Linked DNA regions of Mus musculus. The protein of the gene in region 3 purifies or fractionates together with the protein of the main gene of each other region. This does not show direct contact. Links are inferred from orthologs where the notes say so. Each region holds a gene or a part of one and is shown on either strand. Other genes may lie near its edges.

Region 1 (4,536 bases), on a different chromosome or scaffold from region 3:
CAGGGCTGATCCAGGTAGCTGGGGAACAAGAGCCAAGGAAGATGCTTTGGCAGCGGCATCCTTGCTCACCTACAAAGACACCAGCCAACCTTCCCACCACCCTTTGTGACCTGGCAAAGATGTGGGTCAAATGGAGAGGGACTGAAATGGAACAGGTGAGTCTGGAGCTGAGCACAAGAGACATGCAGGGTGGGCAGTAGGTACAATAGGCAGGTGTGGGGAGGGCAAGGTGTGAGCCAGAGAAGGGGCTCCCATCACCAGCCAGCTTTCCCCTCACTCATCAGTGCGGTAGAGCGCCAAGGCATGGCCAGTGAAATCTATGACATCTTGACCCAGGTCAAACTTCCGGTAGACATCACGCATGCTGGTGTTCTGGGGATCAACACCCTCAAAGGTTTTGGGGTCATTCTCATCAAAGTTTGCCACAAACACCAAAAATTTTCGGAAGCGTCGTTTTTCAAACATGCCCATCAGATCTGAAAGAAAGGTATTGAGAAGACCCTTAGCATTACTGGGACATAGAACTCCTCTTTCCACCAGAGCAGGCCAAGAAAGCTGGTTGTATGTAATGTAGAGTATTGGCTCCCACCAATACTCTATCATGTAACACTACCCCACCCTTCTTGATCTCAATTTTCTTTTTGTAGGAAGAAACCCTTCTAGTTCCACGTAGGGATGCTACAGGGCAAGTAGGCCCTCTGACAAAAAGGAATCCTGTTCTGTGAACTTTCTGGCAACTTGCCAGGATGGGTAGCACTGTCCAATCAATACACTATAAAGTAAGGGTCCTCTAGGACTACACAGAGCTAAGATTAGTTTCAGGCAAAGATGAGCCTTTTGCCTAACTGTCCTGAAAATAGTCTGTCTCATCCAGCCCCATTATTCTCTGGTTAAGGAGACTCATACTCACTAGAAGCCAAGGCCTCAGTCTCGGTGGATGGCACTTTGTAGATCTTGCCCCCCTTATATACAAAGCTGCCCTCTACCACCTTGAAGTCCAGATATCGAGTCACTTCTGTATATAGTAGCATCTTTACCAGCTGACCTGTGTCCAGAGGAAATAAGGGACATTGTTGTGTTTTCCTTCAAAAACTCTCAGTAGTCTGACTGACCATATTCTTGAGATTGACCAATCTCTCCCCACTCCGTCTTCCCACTCACCACCCCCAAAACCATATACAGCATCTTTTTAATCTCTCTCACCATTGGCCATGAGGAATTTGGGGATCAAGTCAACATTCCAGTCTCGGCCCCGGCCCATTGATTCAGGGGGCCCTTCCAGTATCTGAAAGCGCTTATATAGCTGTAAGCAGGACAGGAAAGAAAGAAAAATGTCAAGGACCTGTCGCCCTTTCCCACTCTCCTGCCCAGTACCTGAGAATTACTTCGCCCCCTTATACCTATGTGGAAGACTAACAAGGATCTGGGTCTAAGCCCAGGTCTAAGAATAAGAAATCTTACCTCCTCCAGGGGTGTGATGGAAGAGCTCTCACCCCCATAGTAGGGGTTTCGGTCCATGTGCAGCACCTTCTTTCCATTCACAGACATGATGCCAGACAGGATGCATTCCTGGGGAAGGAGTGACATTTGCAGCTATACCCCATAACCCTCCAACTTGCTTCATGCCCACCACCAATTTTATAATGCAGCTCTTTTCAGTGCCTAAAACTGGGGAGGAGAAGATGGCTTCATATGATGTTTCCTTTACAACCCTGCTGAGTAAACTACTGGAGCATTAAAGGAGGTTTGGGGGGCAGAGCTTTCAGCTTCCAAGTCTTCCAGCATCAACAAGCCAAGAGAAGTATCTACTTCTCTGAGCCCACAAAAAGACAATGAGTCTACAAGAAGAACCAATTCAAAGGACCTTTGAAAGAGAAGGCCAAGTCCTTGAAATCCCAGGCCCCACCCTGCTCCTCCTTCAAAGGGCAGGAGCCCCTGACTCTCTTCTGGCCCTATCCACTGGTCTAGACTCAGGGTTCAAACTAAAAAGATTTAGGCCGGGGGTGGGGGTTGGGGGGGGCGGGGGCAGGGAAGAGACAAACACCCTCACCAGTCAGTCACTAACCCAAGGACAAAGGCTGAGGATATATATTCAGTCTGAGATCTCCATGGGAAACCAAGTTGGGGCAGAGGTAAAGTGGTCACTACCCCCCCCCCACACCCCCCACACACACACTCCTGCTGTCTCTGGAACATTCCATGGGTTTCCTATCCCATCCCAAAAAGCAGAAAAGCATGATGAGGGCCCACCCTTGTAATGTCCCCATACCCATCTTCATATTCCATCCCCTAGTTTGATCACAAGATGGTAAGGGATGCTAATCAAGGCCTTGGAGCAGGTGATGAGTTCAGGCAAAGGGTGGGGGCTGGGTGCAATGGTTCCACTGTGTGTGTGGGGGGGTGAGTTTTCCACCTCGGTGATAGAGATAGGGAAGAATAGGGGTCTGAGGTTAAGTACTAGAGTGCAGGAACACAGGACAAAGTGGGGCCCTCTACAGAGAATTGGGAACTGGAATCGACATCCTAGGGTGAGGTAGTGGGTTGGGCATGGGGTTGGTTTTCCCAGGGCTGGAGCTAGGATGATGGGAGGATGGATCGGATACCGGACTCTGCATCAATGCGGGATGGAGTGGGGTGGGGAGGGATGGCGTGGGGTGGGGAGGGATGGCATGATGCAGGGCTATGAGAGCCTGAAGTGGCACTTACGGTAAGACCTGTCCCCAGCACAATCACATCGTATTCCTCATCCATGATCAGGCCTTGGTACCAGCGTCCGCTCTGCTCCTCCTCCTTCACCACAGCAGCCGCTACCACTACCTCTACTATTGCTACTGCTGCTACTGCCGCTGCTGCTGCTGCCCCTGCCGCTGCTTCTGTCACTGCCGCCGCACTGAACCAAAGATGGCGTCTGTCGGTTGTCTCCTGATCCCTACGCAGCGTTAATGAGTCCCTCTCTCTCTCCGCTGGCCCCGCCCCGCCCAACCAGTCATCATTTCCTTGCTTGTTTTCTGGGAGGGCTTCTGTCACCTGGGTCCCAGCACCAGAATGACTGCAGGGGTTATCGGGGCTCTTCGTGAGCCCAGAAAAATACGGGGCGGGGCAGGCCGGCAGCAGGTGCTGAGTCCTCCGAAAGATCCTTGCGCGGGAGCCGCGCGCGCCCCGCCCCGCCCCGCGCGCTCCCGTACCGCCCCCTGGGAGAAACACAAGGTATGGAAGCCCTGCTGTGTGTTGTTGCACAGTAGCGGAGCTACCATTGTCAGGATTCCTCCCAAGGCCAGGAAAAGTAACAAGCCTCTACTCTAAGTAGGTTTGTTAAGAGTATCAGCTTACTGAAGACCCTCCCACCCTTCCTCTCTCACCTCTTGCATGACTGGACTACATCTGAGCACTTCTTCCCTTCAGTCAAGAAAAAAAAATCTACTGTTCAGTGCAGAAATGAGTGACACGAAGCCCAACACAAGGCAACACGTCTTTATTTTATTAGGAAGGAAACAACAGAGCAACCCCCCACACACACCTCCGGCCTCTTGACAGGCAGTCTTTATGGGAATAATCCAGAAACCCAGTGAGCACACTTTGTTCACCAATCCTCGTGATGGTTTCTTCCTTCCCAGGCCACAGAAATAAACCCCAGTGTACCACTCACTCTTAACACATCACCCCTCCCCCCCAAAAAACATAACAGCTAAGCTGGACAGACAGTCAAGTAGTCTTTCCACACCTCGCAAATTCAAGGAACCTCAAGTTCATGGCTGTTGCTGGAAGCTCCATAAAGCTTGGGGAGTGAGCATTTACTACACAAAAGCACTATAAACAGCAAGGAATAATAGCAGAGGGGCAAGAATAAATAAGGAGAGAGGGTAAAGGGGAGACCCTAGAATTAAGGTCCCTTCCCCTCTTGATGATGAAGCCTGGAAGATTTATCTAATATCTATGAAGAATACACTTTGTTGGTAGAGATGGGGGATAGCCACAGGGGAGTCCCTCTCCGGGTTAAAGAGGAAGCAAGAGAGACTGAGGGTGGCGTATGTAGGGTTCATGCTATAGTAGGAAGAGGACAAACCTTTCCATCCACTGTGTCACAAAACAGAAACATGACAACCTAGACACCAATACTCCCTCAATTCCTCTCAGGTGTATGTCACACAATCTGGGTCAAAGTGATGGTGGGGCCCTTGTGGTCATCAAAGCGATCCATGGTCTTTAGGCTGAGTATCATGTGCAGACCATAGGTGAATATGAAAAGCATGAAGAGGGTGGTGAGCAGACCCATCCAGATGCCCGGAGAGAAGAAACCAGCACAGTCGCTAGCATAGGAGAACTGTTCACCAGTCACATTGAAGGCCTGGATCTAGGAGACACATTGACATGGATCAGATGGTTCCACAAGGTTCCACACACAGTAAGAGCTGGGATTCTGGAATCAATGAATAATCTATACCTTCAGAGACTGCACAAGGCTGGAACTCTCAGCTACATGCTCAAACCATACTGAGATTCTCTGGGCCCTTCTTCCCTCCCCTTACTGCCACCAGC
Region 2 (4,635 bases), about 52 Mb from region 3:
TCTCCTTACTCTGGTGTCAGTAGAAAGGCTTGTCTACAAACTATAGGTTTGGAGGGGGGCGGAGCACTACTACTTTTTTTTTTTCTTTGTCCAGACAGGGTTCCTCTGTGTAGCCCTGGCTGTCCTTAAGTTCTGTCAACCAGACTGGCATCCAACTCAGAGGTCCATCTGTGTCTGTGCCCACCCCTCTTCCCCAAGTGCTGGGATTAAATGTGTGTACCATGACCTCATAGCCTTTAAAGTGATAATTCTCAATGTTAGATAATTACACAGAATCTGCCATTTCTCATAGAAAACTAAAGGTCTTCTTTACTAAAGTAACTTTCAATGCGTGAGGATTAATGTGAAGTTAACTGATAGAAAAGAATGCCAACACCAAGCAACACTAAAGTAACAAGTTTCCTTCACTCAAAGTCCTTGACATAACAATAATATACATTTGGTATACACCCTTTTACTAGGTTCTGAAATCTCCAGCACTAAATGTCTACAAGCCAAACATTAATGCCATGTACATTCTGATATTCAAAGTTACATCTAATTTGTGGCTTTTAACTTTGACTGGGAGTCTCTTCAAGATTTAACCTAACTCAAGATTTCACCCAAGTTCTACTAATGTCATTTCTTATTGTCAACATCATTCTGCTATTACTGTGTCTATTAATGATGGTCCTATGATGATCACAAGCTACACTGATACAATTCTAAAACATTTCCCAGTATAGATCTAGGAAGGCCCAGTGAGAAACAAGGTTAGCATAGCTGTAAGACAGCAGAAACTGTTCTAAATTCTAGTTACTTATGTATCCACTACCCATTAAGAAATTCACAATTCAAGTGAAAATTTAAATAAAGGGTGTTACTTTGTTAAACAGACTGTGCTATCTTTGATACAAAATGATGCTTCTAAACTAGGCCTGTGGAAGCCTGCAGGAAGCCTCTGGGCTCACTTAGCTACACTCAACCCACCCTATTAATGGGCAAATGTGAAGTATTAGCAATGACAATATAAAAGAGAAATAATTGGCTCTCACAATATGCTGGCAGCCACAGGGCCCACTAACAGGCCACCATCACAAACTACTTACTATGCCCGGAACCCCCAATTAGGCACTAAAAAAGGTCAACCTGCAGAGAGCCCTGGGTAGTGATTAATTTAGCCATTCAAGTCTCCCCAACTGACGGGGTTGAGGGTGGGGGGTGGGTGTTCCAATGGCTGGGTGTGACAGTATGTGCCTTTTAATCCAAGCACTGACCAACTACTGGGAAGGCTAGAAGGTAGAAATATCTTTTAAATTCAGGGTCAGCCTGATCTATATAGGGAGTTCCAGTATAGCTAGGCTACAGAGAAAGATCTTGCCTCAAAAAAATAAAAGAAATTCAGTCATTCATTCAAAGTTAAGTAGATGGCCTTGTAGGTGAGCAATGATGTCTATCTCCAGTCTACTCTCTGGGCAGTCACATGTTACTGAGCCTTGAGCAGAACATCTTGGCCTTGCCTTTCATCCCAACACCCAGAAGGCAGGGATAGGCAGAGCTCTGCATTCCTGGACAACCAGAGCTACAAGGTGAGAACTTGTCAGAATTCAATAATCTCTTCTAGCAATCATTCATCACTTCAAAGAGAAAAATAAGCTTTTCCTAAAAGTATTAAAAGAAAAAAAGTAGAATAAAAAATCTTGAAGGTTTTCTCTAAAACAGTTATTTCCGAGTATTTTATCTTAAAGATATTAATTTGATTCTAAGAAATGCCAATGCAAGCTGGGCGGTGGTGGAGGCAGAGACAGGCGAATTTCTGAGTTCGAGGCCAGCCTGGTCTACAAAGTGAGTTCCAGGACAGCCAGGGCTACTTAGAGAAACCCTGTCTCGAGGAAAAAAAAAAAAAAGAAAGAAAGAAATGCCAATGCATTTCAACAAAGTCGAAAGCCGTGGGGCTCTTATTAAATGACTTGGACATTTGATGGATAGACATATGGGATCCATACATCAATGTTCCAGATGAAGTAATTTACCCATAATTTCACATTCAATACCCCCCCCACACACACACACCGCAATTGATATTCAAAATGGTCGGTTCTCTTCCCAACTCCTTTTTGCAAAAGATCAGCCCTTTTGTCACAGTGGGGGGCCGGGGGGAAAGCACAAAGTATAAAAACCTGTCTATATTTTTCCCATATTTAAGCAGATAGATACTGACGAAAACGTACTGGAGCATTAGGGACCGCCTTACATTTACATACCAGTACATTCACACTGCGCATTTATTTTCTAACCTCCCAGAAGTGTAACAAGTACAGAGAACTTAGCCTCCCCCTTCTCAAGAAACTGTGGCGGCACGCAATAAACCAAACAAAAGGGAAGCACGGGCCGGACGTGAAAAGTATTTAACAGACAAGTTTTGAGAAAATTCATTTCCCATTTCAAGCGAGTGGATGAGAGGGCAGTGAAGCAATTAGAAAAAGGGTGTTTGTTTTTTTCCTAAAGAAACTCGTTTCATGATTTTCTCTAGAAACTTAAGTTGGCCAAACTCTAGGACAAATTATCGATCAGCGATCATCCTTCTGTTTGGCTTTCTGCGCCCTGAGACTAGCTGAGTAAGCTGCTGCTGCTGCTGCTGCTGCTGCTACTCGCCACTTACATAGGAAGTGCAGGCGCCAGCAGCGACTCCCTCCCGCTCGGTCCAGGGCTTGCCTGCTTCCAAGCGGGAGAGGTCATTCACCCAAAGGGGAAGTGCAAGGAGCACAAGCTGTTTTCCCGGTCCTCTTCCTTCCTGCAGGAGGACGAGGCTGTCTCTCTCCGGCTGCTGGGCGGTTCTGCCCTCAACTTCCCAATGGGCAGGCTTCCCACGGACACGTCCCGGCTTCCACATCCTGGTTTTCCCTAACACACTACCGACGCCTTCAAATCACTGCATCCCAACAAGCCACGACCTCCCTATCCCAGACTCAACGCGGGCGAGTGGGGACGGCCCCCAAGGGGGCGCAGACACCGGCAGTTCGGGCGCGGGCGAGGCTCGTGCACACCGATGGGACCCGCCCTCGCCCCCGGGCCCGGCGGAGGCCGGCCGGCCGCGTCTCCCCGCAGCCCGCCGCAGCTCACCGTCAGGCCGGTGCCCAGCACGATCACGTCGTATTCCTCATTCATGGCGGGGAAAGGAGCGCACGCGGGGGCTCGGAGGCCGCCGTAGAGAAGGGAGCGAGAAGTCCGGCCGCTCTGGGCCCCGGGGGTCGGGGGGAAAGGGAAAAAGCGAGGAGAGGAAAAACGGAGCTGAGGAGGAGGAGAGGCCGGCCGCCACCTCAACGGGAAGAGAAGAGCAGGGAGGGGAGGGAGGGGAGGCGGGGAGAGCGCGGGGTGAGGAGAGCGAGCTCCGGCGCCGGGGCGGGGCGTGCGAGAGGCCGACGGCGCCGTCAGTCAAGGGGATCCTGCTCTCTCATTGGTGAATTTCCTTAACCCCACCTCTCCCCCCCTCGTTCCCCTCTCGCGAGAGAAGGGCGGACTGCTGCCATCTTGGCTTCCGGTTTTGCGCTTTTTTTTTTTTTTTTTTTTTAAATTTCACCCGTCTTGTGCTCCTGTGGTATGGGCGGCGACATGCGAAGCTGAGGGTCTAGTTGAATAGGAGGAACAAGGCGGAAACTGCAGCTGGGCTACCACGTGCCTGACTCTCGCGCCAAGGTGTGAGATGGAGCACGGTTGTTTAGGCTTCGGGCCACGGAGCCCAAGCTCCGCCCTTGGGACTTTGAGAGGTGTACGTGCATCGCCCTGGCCGAGCGGGGCCAAGTCGTGAGGACGCCAGCCTCTCCGAAGGTTGGCAGCCTCGTTGCCTCTGCAGCTTGGCTCCTGGCCCTGCCCCTGCCCCTGCCCGCGCGGGGCTGGGAAGACCTCAGGATTCTGTGTGCCCTGCTTTAAACTTGTATGGTTCTGTTCGAACAAATAAATGTGTTCTAAACTGGTATCCATGCTTTAGGTAAAATGTGGTCCAGAATGGCTTTCCTATATAATGCTCCGCATTCTAGCTTGTGATGCAAAGCAGGTTATAAATTTAAGAGTTGATAACCCTGGTACCCAAGCAACTGGGCTTCAACTAGTCTCTCAGGCTGAAGGCTGCCAAAATGTGCTTATAAAGGCAAATGCTGAATTGCACTATATTTTGTATGTTTGCTGTGTTTCAGCCTCTACATGCAATTACCACACTAGAGGTGGGGCTTCTGAACCATCTTTGGTGTGCTGCCTGGTTCTGGATCCTGATCCTTGTTAAAACTTTGTTGAATCTAATTAATTTCAGAGTTGTTTTGTTTTGTTTGGACAACAGAATTGTCAGGGTGCAAAGTAGACCTTCCAGTAACCCTCAGGACCATTAAAGCAACATTTGCAGGCCCCTTGGACATCAAGCTCCACTGGCTTTGAACTAGCTGTGCTGTGCCTCGGCCCTTAGCACACACCTTTAATCTTGCTGGAATACAGGCACACCCTAAGTGCACACCTTTGATTCCAAAGGTAAAACTAGTTTATTAGAAGGAAGCACCCATGTTTAACAGTGATGTCTAATTGAGTGGCTTGACTGAATCAGAGAAAGGTTTGCCAGGTTATACCCAGCTCTCAAAAGAGAGAGGGAAGGGAAGCTATTTAAGAGGC
Region 3 (4,635 bases):
TTTGGTTTCTCTGTATAGCCTTGGCTGTCCTGGAACTCACTCTGTAGACCAGGCTGGCCTTGAACTCCGAAATCCACCTGTCCCTGCCTCCCAAGTGCTTAGTGGGATTAAAGGTGTGCGCCACCACTGCCCAGCCACCATTCCATCTTAAAGCCCTTTTTTATTTTTCACAATAGTTTTCACGGTGTAGTCCTGGCTGAACTGGGAATCAGTCTGTAGACCATGCTGGTCTTAAACTTGGAGATCTGCTGCCTCTGCCTCTAGAGTGCAGTGAGTAAAGGTTTGGAAGCTTCAAGGCCTTTTTCTAAGTTAGCAACTAAATTGGATGCATAAGACCTTTTTGAGTTATAGAAAGATGGAGTTGCCTCTTGTTGCGTACATTATAGGGTTTCACTGGGAAGCTTAGGACTGAGTCACACCCCTGAGCACAGGTTCAGACATAACACAACAGGTAGAGCTGGCCTAACCAACTCGTCTTGAGGTTGATGTACCCAAGCCTTTTGTCTCTGGGCACAGCTGAGGTGCTTTCCTTCGTCTTCTCCTGAACTTTGTACTTTTCCATCCCAGCCTCAACCTATCTTCACCCCCACAAAAGAAAAAAAGTGATATAGTTCTTGCCTAGTATGTTAGAAGCCCTGGTATTTGCTCTACACTCAGACATGTAAGCACTAATAAAAAGGCCATAAGAAAAAGAGCCCATTGTTTATCCATGGTTTCAGTGATAGTCTTAGGAAACTGTTACTTGGTTCCAGATGGAAGTCTTCATATAAGTGAGGCCCACGTGGCCCCAGGAACAACTAGGTGTTTTGACACCCAGTGCACACAGCAAGGAAATGCATCAATTTTATTTACAGTTCAGAAGCTACTTAAATAGTCTGGACAGAAGCCTGGGATTCAAGTCAGCCCTTACTCCTCCTCATGCCCACAGTCAGCCCAATACTTCCTCCGTTCCATGGGCCAGCACAGGCAGGTGCCACCTCTGCTGTGAGAGGCACCTGGAATAGCTCAGACGCTTGACCATTCCAGCCCAGACAAGAGTCAGGTCCAGCCCCTCTGGGAATTCATCTAATTCCACTGGGCCAGATGAGTGGTGACTCAGTGATGACAACAGCTGTAGAAGTAAGGGTTTGCCTTCTGGCTCAAATCCACACCTTTGTCCTCTGTCAAAGAGAGGAGAGGTGACTGCTCAGCACTACTATTATGTCGGGGCATCAAGTAGGTCACCAAGAAGGCTGGGGACCATGAGGAAGTACACACCTGTCATCACCTGGAAAGCAGCCACACTGACGTAATCCTCAGCCACTTTCTGGAAGAGTTCATCTGGCAAGCAAAGAATCAGTGAGGGCCTGAGACCAGCAGCCCTGGGTATCCCAGTGGCCCAGCCCTCTGAACCTTTCTGCTCTACTGTCCTGCCTGTTCCTGCTGACAGGACCCAAGACAACACTCACCCACACTTTGGCCTGTCTTGCTGGATGTTTCAAAGAGTTGGGCTTTGATATCTGCAAAGAGAAGTGACTGTCTTCACACTTGGGGAGCACACCTAAATGTAGCTAACAGTTCAGTCTCCTGAACCACACAGGTTCAAGAAGGCCAGAAAGCAACCAAGACTGTCATTCCCATCTTTGAAATACACTCAGGCAGATAGTACCCGCCCCCAAGCCCCCATCCTCAGAGACTTAAAAACAGCTACTATCGGCATAGTCCTGAACATCATGGAAGTCTACACGACGGCGCCGCCTGTCTTCCTCCAGCAGGTCACTCTTAGTGCCACACAGGTAGATTTGACAGCCCTGTAGCAGAAGACAAGGCTGAGATTATCTCCACAGACCAATACAGTCTCTGTCCCTACTCTTGTGATATCTGGCCACCTACCTCTTCTAAACTGCGCAGCTCCTTAACCCAGAACTTGGCTCTCTCAAAGCTGCTGCTGTCAGTGAGGTCTTGGTAAGGGTAAGGCAAGAGACACATAAAGATCAGCGGCTTCCCTCTGATGCTGGCCTGTAACCTAACCCTTACTACTTGAACACGCCAGAATTCAACCCCTTACCATAACAGACAATTGCAGCTTTAGCACCCCGGTAATAGATTCTGCTCATGGCTTCGTAGCGCTCGGAACCTGCTGTGTCCTGAGGGGTGAAAGGAGTTAATAAGCTCCTTCACAAGACTACAAAATAGGCCCCATCTTCCAGACAACCCCCCCTCCTTTTTTTAGACGAGTAAATGGGTGTGAGGAAGGAAAAACGACCTCTATGAGGCTCCAGTTGGCTGGTTTAAGAGGCAAGACATTAAATTCGGGAGACAGGTTTGCACAAGACTCTGTTCTCAAGGGACTTACCCAAATGCCCAGAGTCACCGTCCGGTCTCCAACGCACATCACCTTGGCCACGAAAGCAGCCCCGATGGTCTACAACCAGGGAAGAGATAAGTGTGGAATACTGGCCGGACCCCTTCCTCCCATGCCTGCTCCGCAGGGGTGCACTCACGTTCTGATAGGGCCCCACCAAGAAGCGGTCGTGCACGTATCGTTCCACCAGGCTCGTCTTGCCCACGTATTCCTTGCCCAGCATAACCACCTTAACGTCCACGCGCTGCCCGCTCATGCTCCCTGGGCCGCCTCACCCACTTCAGGGTCCGCGCGGCCCAGGCAGAGCCCAAGCCTCAGACCCCAACCCCAAGGGCCTCGCACCTCGCAGGCCCCTGGCGCCTCGGCCCGGGGCGCTCCGTCCTTTGCAGAGCCGCGGCGCGGGGACGCGGACAGCGCCCTCCACCGCGCCGCAGAGCCCTGCGGTGCTCACCCGCGCGACCGCCGCTGCGCCCGAAGCTCCGCTGCGCCGGGGTTACCGACTGAATCTGGGGTCCTCGTAGCTAACTCCAAACAGCACCTCTGGGACTGGAAGCCAAGAGGCGGGACGCCCGGTCACGTGACGCGGGCGCCGGAAGTGGCCGATCCTATGCATCCGGCGCCGGAAGCGTCGTGCAGTCCTATAACCCCTGATGGCGGCGGTAGGGACCTGGGCGCGGTCCTGCGGAGATTGAGCTGCGAGCCTGGCGGGCGTGCGCCTAGCCACGTCCCCCCCACCCCCGGGCTCTTCACCCTGATGCTGCACGGGTGCTGAGCCCGTCCGGGTCGGGACGATGGTGAAGTATTTCCTGGGCCAGAGCGTGCTCCGAAGTTCCTGGGACCAAGTGTTCGCCGCCTTCTGGCAACGGTACCCGAATCCCTATAGGTACGTGGCGTTGGGTAGAGCGAGTCGCCTTCCTCTCTTCTTCTGGAGATCGCACCGTAGGCTGTCCTTCAATAGTGGAGTTTGAAAGACTGGACAGAGTCCGATGTGGGCTATCTGCGGAACTGTGGCCACAGTTATAGCACAAAATCCTTATAGGATTAGAATCAGTCCAAGCCTCCAAAGTCCTCGAAGAAGATTGTCTAGTTTGTGATTTATATTGGGCTCTAGATTTCTATTTTGCAGTCCAAAGGTGGTTGGACAGGAAGAGGCGGCAGCACGGGAGTTGAGCGGTATTTCGGGGCCAGAAATCCTGAGGATGGTTTGCTTACCTGCTGCTGGCGCTCTCTAGTGGTATAATTCTTGAGATTTTGCTCGCTTTGGAGAGCCACAGAATCCATGTCGGGTGGAGGAGGGAGTTGGAATTTGCCCGGGGATAGGTTCAGTGTACTCTAATTCTGAACCCGGGCACAGATCACAGATTGCAGGCAGCCATGACCTGGAGGCGCTAAATAGGAACCAGTAGACATGCTGTCAAGAGCAGGCTCCTGAGAATCATCTTTAACTCTTGCAGCAAACATGTCTTAACCGAAGACATAGTGCACCGGGAGGTGACCCCCGACCAGAAGCTACTGTCCCGGAGACTCCTGACCAAGACCAACAGGATGCCACGTTGGGCAGAGCGACTGTTTCCTGCCAACGTTGCTCACTCCGTGTACATCCTGGAGGACTCTATTGTGGACCCCCAGAATCAGACCATGACCACCTTCACCTGGAACATCAACCATGCCCGGCTGATGGTGAGACTTCCTTTGCTCCCTCAAAATAGTTGCCCTTCAGATTTCAGGCAAGAGAGTTGTGGGAACTTCTGTGGCCAGAGGCAGGCCTAAAATACCAATGAGCTGCATCTCTAGAGTTCTGCCCTTAGATTGGTCTACCCTTTCGATTGGTCAGATTCTCTGGGACTGTCCCTTGGCTCTCAGATGGTGGGGAAAGACACCCCTGTTCTTTTTTTCTTTTTTTTTTTCCCCGAGACAGGGTTTCTCTGTGAAACTCTGGCTCTCCTGGAACTCATTTTGTAGACCAGGCTGTCCTCGAGCTTAGAAATCTACCTGCCTCTGCCTCCCAAGTGCTAGGATTAAAGGCGTGCACCACCAACCACTGCCCGGCTGACACCCCTTTTCAAAGCTTGTTACAAGTACTGTGCGCAGAGCAGTCAGTTGGTGACATGCATGCATGCATACATATGGGGGGGGGGGTGGCTTTCAGGAATGATGCTGATCGAGAAAGGGAGGCTGTGGCTTCCCTGTTGGAGTCACATCAAGTGGAGATAACTGGGGTGTGCCTCGGTTTGTGCATGAGATTTGAGGAAGTGCATTATATGGATCTTGTATGCTTTGGAAGGCTTGAA

What was found.
Region 1: the proteins of Rab24 (region 3) and Gdi1 purify together in Homo sapiens (affinity purification with mass spectrometry; 3 studies listed by BioGRID and IntAct, counting the BioPlex papers as one, with this or other methods). This does not show direct contact. The link is inferred for Mus musculus from reciprocal best matches to the Homo sapiens genes RAB24 and GDI1.
Region 2: the proteins of Rab24 (region 3) and Gdi2 purify together in Homo sapiens (affinity purification with mass spectrometry; 3 studies listed by BioGRID and IntAct, with this or other methods). This does not show direct contact. The link is inferred for Mus musculus from reciprocal best matches to the Homo sapiens genes RAB24 and GDI2.

The regions. Positions count from the first base shown.
Region 1 is NC_000086.7:74,303,612-74,308,147, reverse strand, and holds the start of Gdi1 (rab GDP dissociation inhibitor alpha), read right to left. Parts: upstream 3,137-4,536; 5' UTR 2,752-3,136; coding exon 2,707-2,751; intron 1,570-2,706; coding exon 1,462-1,569; intron 1,304-1,461; coding exon 1,204-1,303; intron 1,046-1,203; coding exon 911-1,045; intron 477-910; coding exon 278-476; intron 19-277; coding exon 1-18. Other genes in the region: Atp6ap1 (V-type proton ATPase subunit S1 isoform 1 precursor), read right to left, coding at 4,142-4,351. UniProt on the Homo sapiens protein: Regulates the GDP/GTP exchange reaction of most Rab proteins by inhibiting the dissociation of GDP from them, and the subsequent binding of GTP to them. Promotes the dissociation of GDP-bound Rab proteins from the membrane and inhibits their activation.
Region 2 is NC_000079.6:3,536,811-3,541,445, reverse strand, and holds the start of Gdi2 (rab GDP dissociation inhibitor beta), read right to left. Parts: upstream 3,372-4,635; 5' UTR 3,148-3,371; coding exon 3,103-3,147; intron 1-3,102. UniProt on the Homo sapiens protein: GDP-dissociation inhibitor preventing the GDP to GTP exchange of most Rab proteins. By keeping these small GTPases in their inactive GDP-bound form regulates intracellular membrane trafficking.
Region 3 is NC_000079.6:55,319,055-55,323,689, forward strand, and holds Rab24 (ras-related protein Rab-24), read right to left. Parts: upstream 2,927-4,635; 5' UTR 2,601-2,926; coding exon 2,484-2,600; intron 2,405-2,483; coding exon 2,336-2,404; intron 2,127-2,335; coding exon 2,048-2,126; intron 1,941-2,047; coding exon 1,873-1,940; intron 1,791-1,872; coding exon 1,691-1,790; intron 1,500-1,690; coding exon 1,449-1,499; intron 1,321-1,448; coding exon 1,258-1,320; intron 1,183-1,257; coding exon of another isoform or gene 1,161-1,182; coding exon 1,096-1,160; coding exon of another isoform or gene 929-1,095; 3' UTR 169-928; downstream 1-168. Other genes in the region: Prelid1 (PRELI domain-containing protein 1, mitochondrial precursor), read left to right, coding at 3,136-3,227, 3,799-4,024.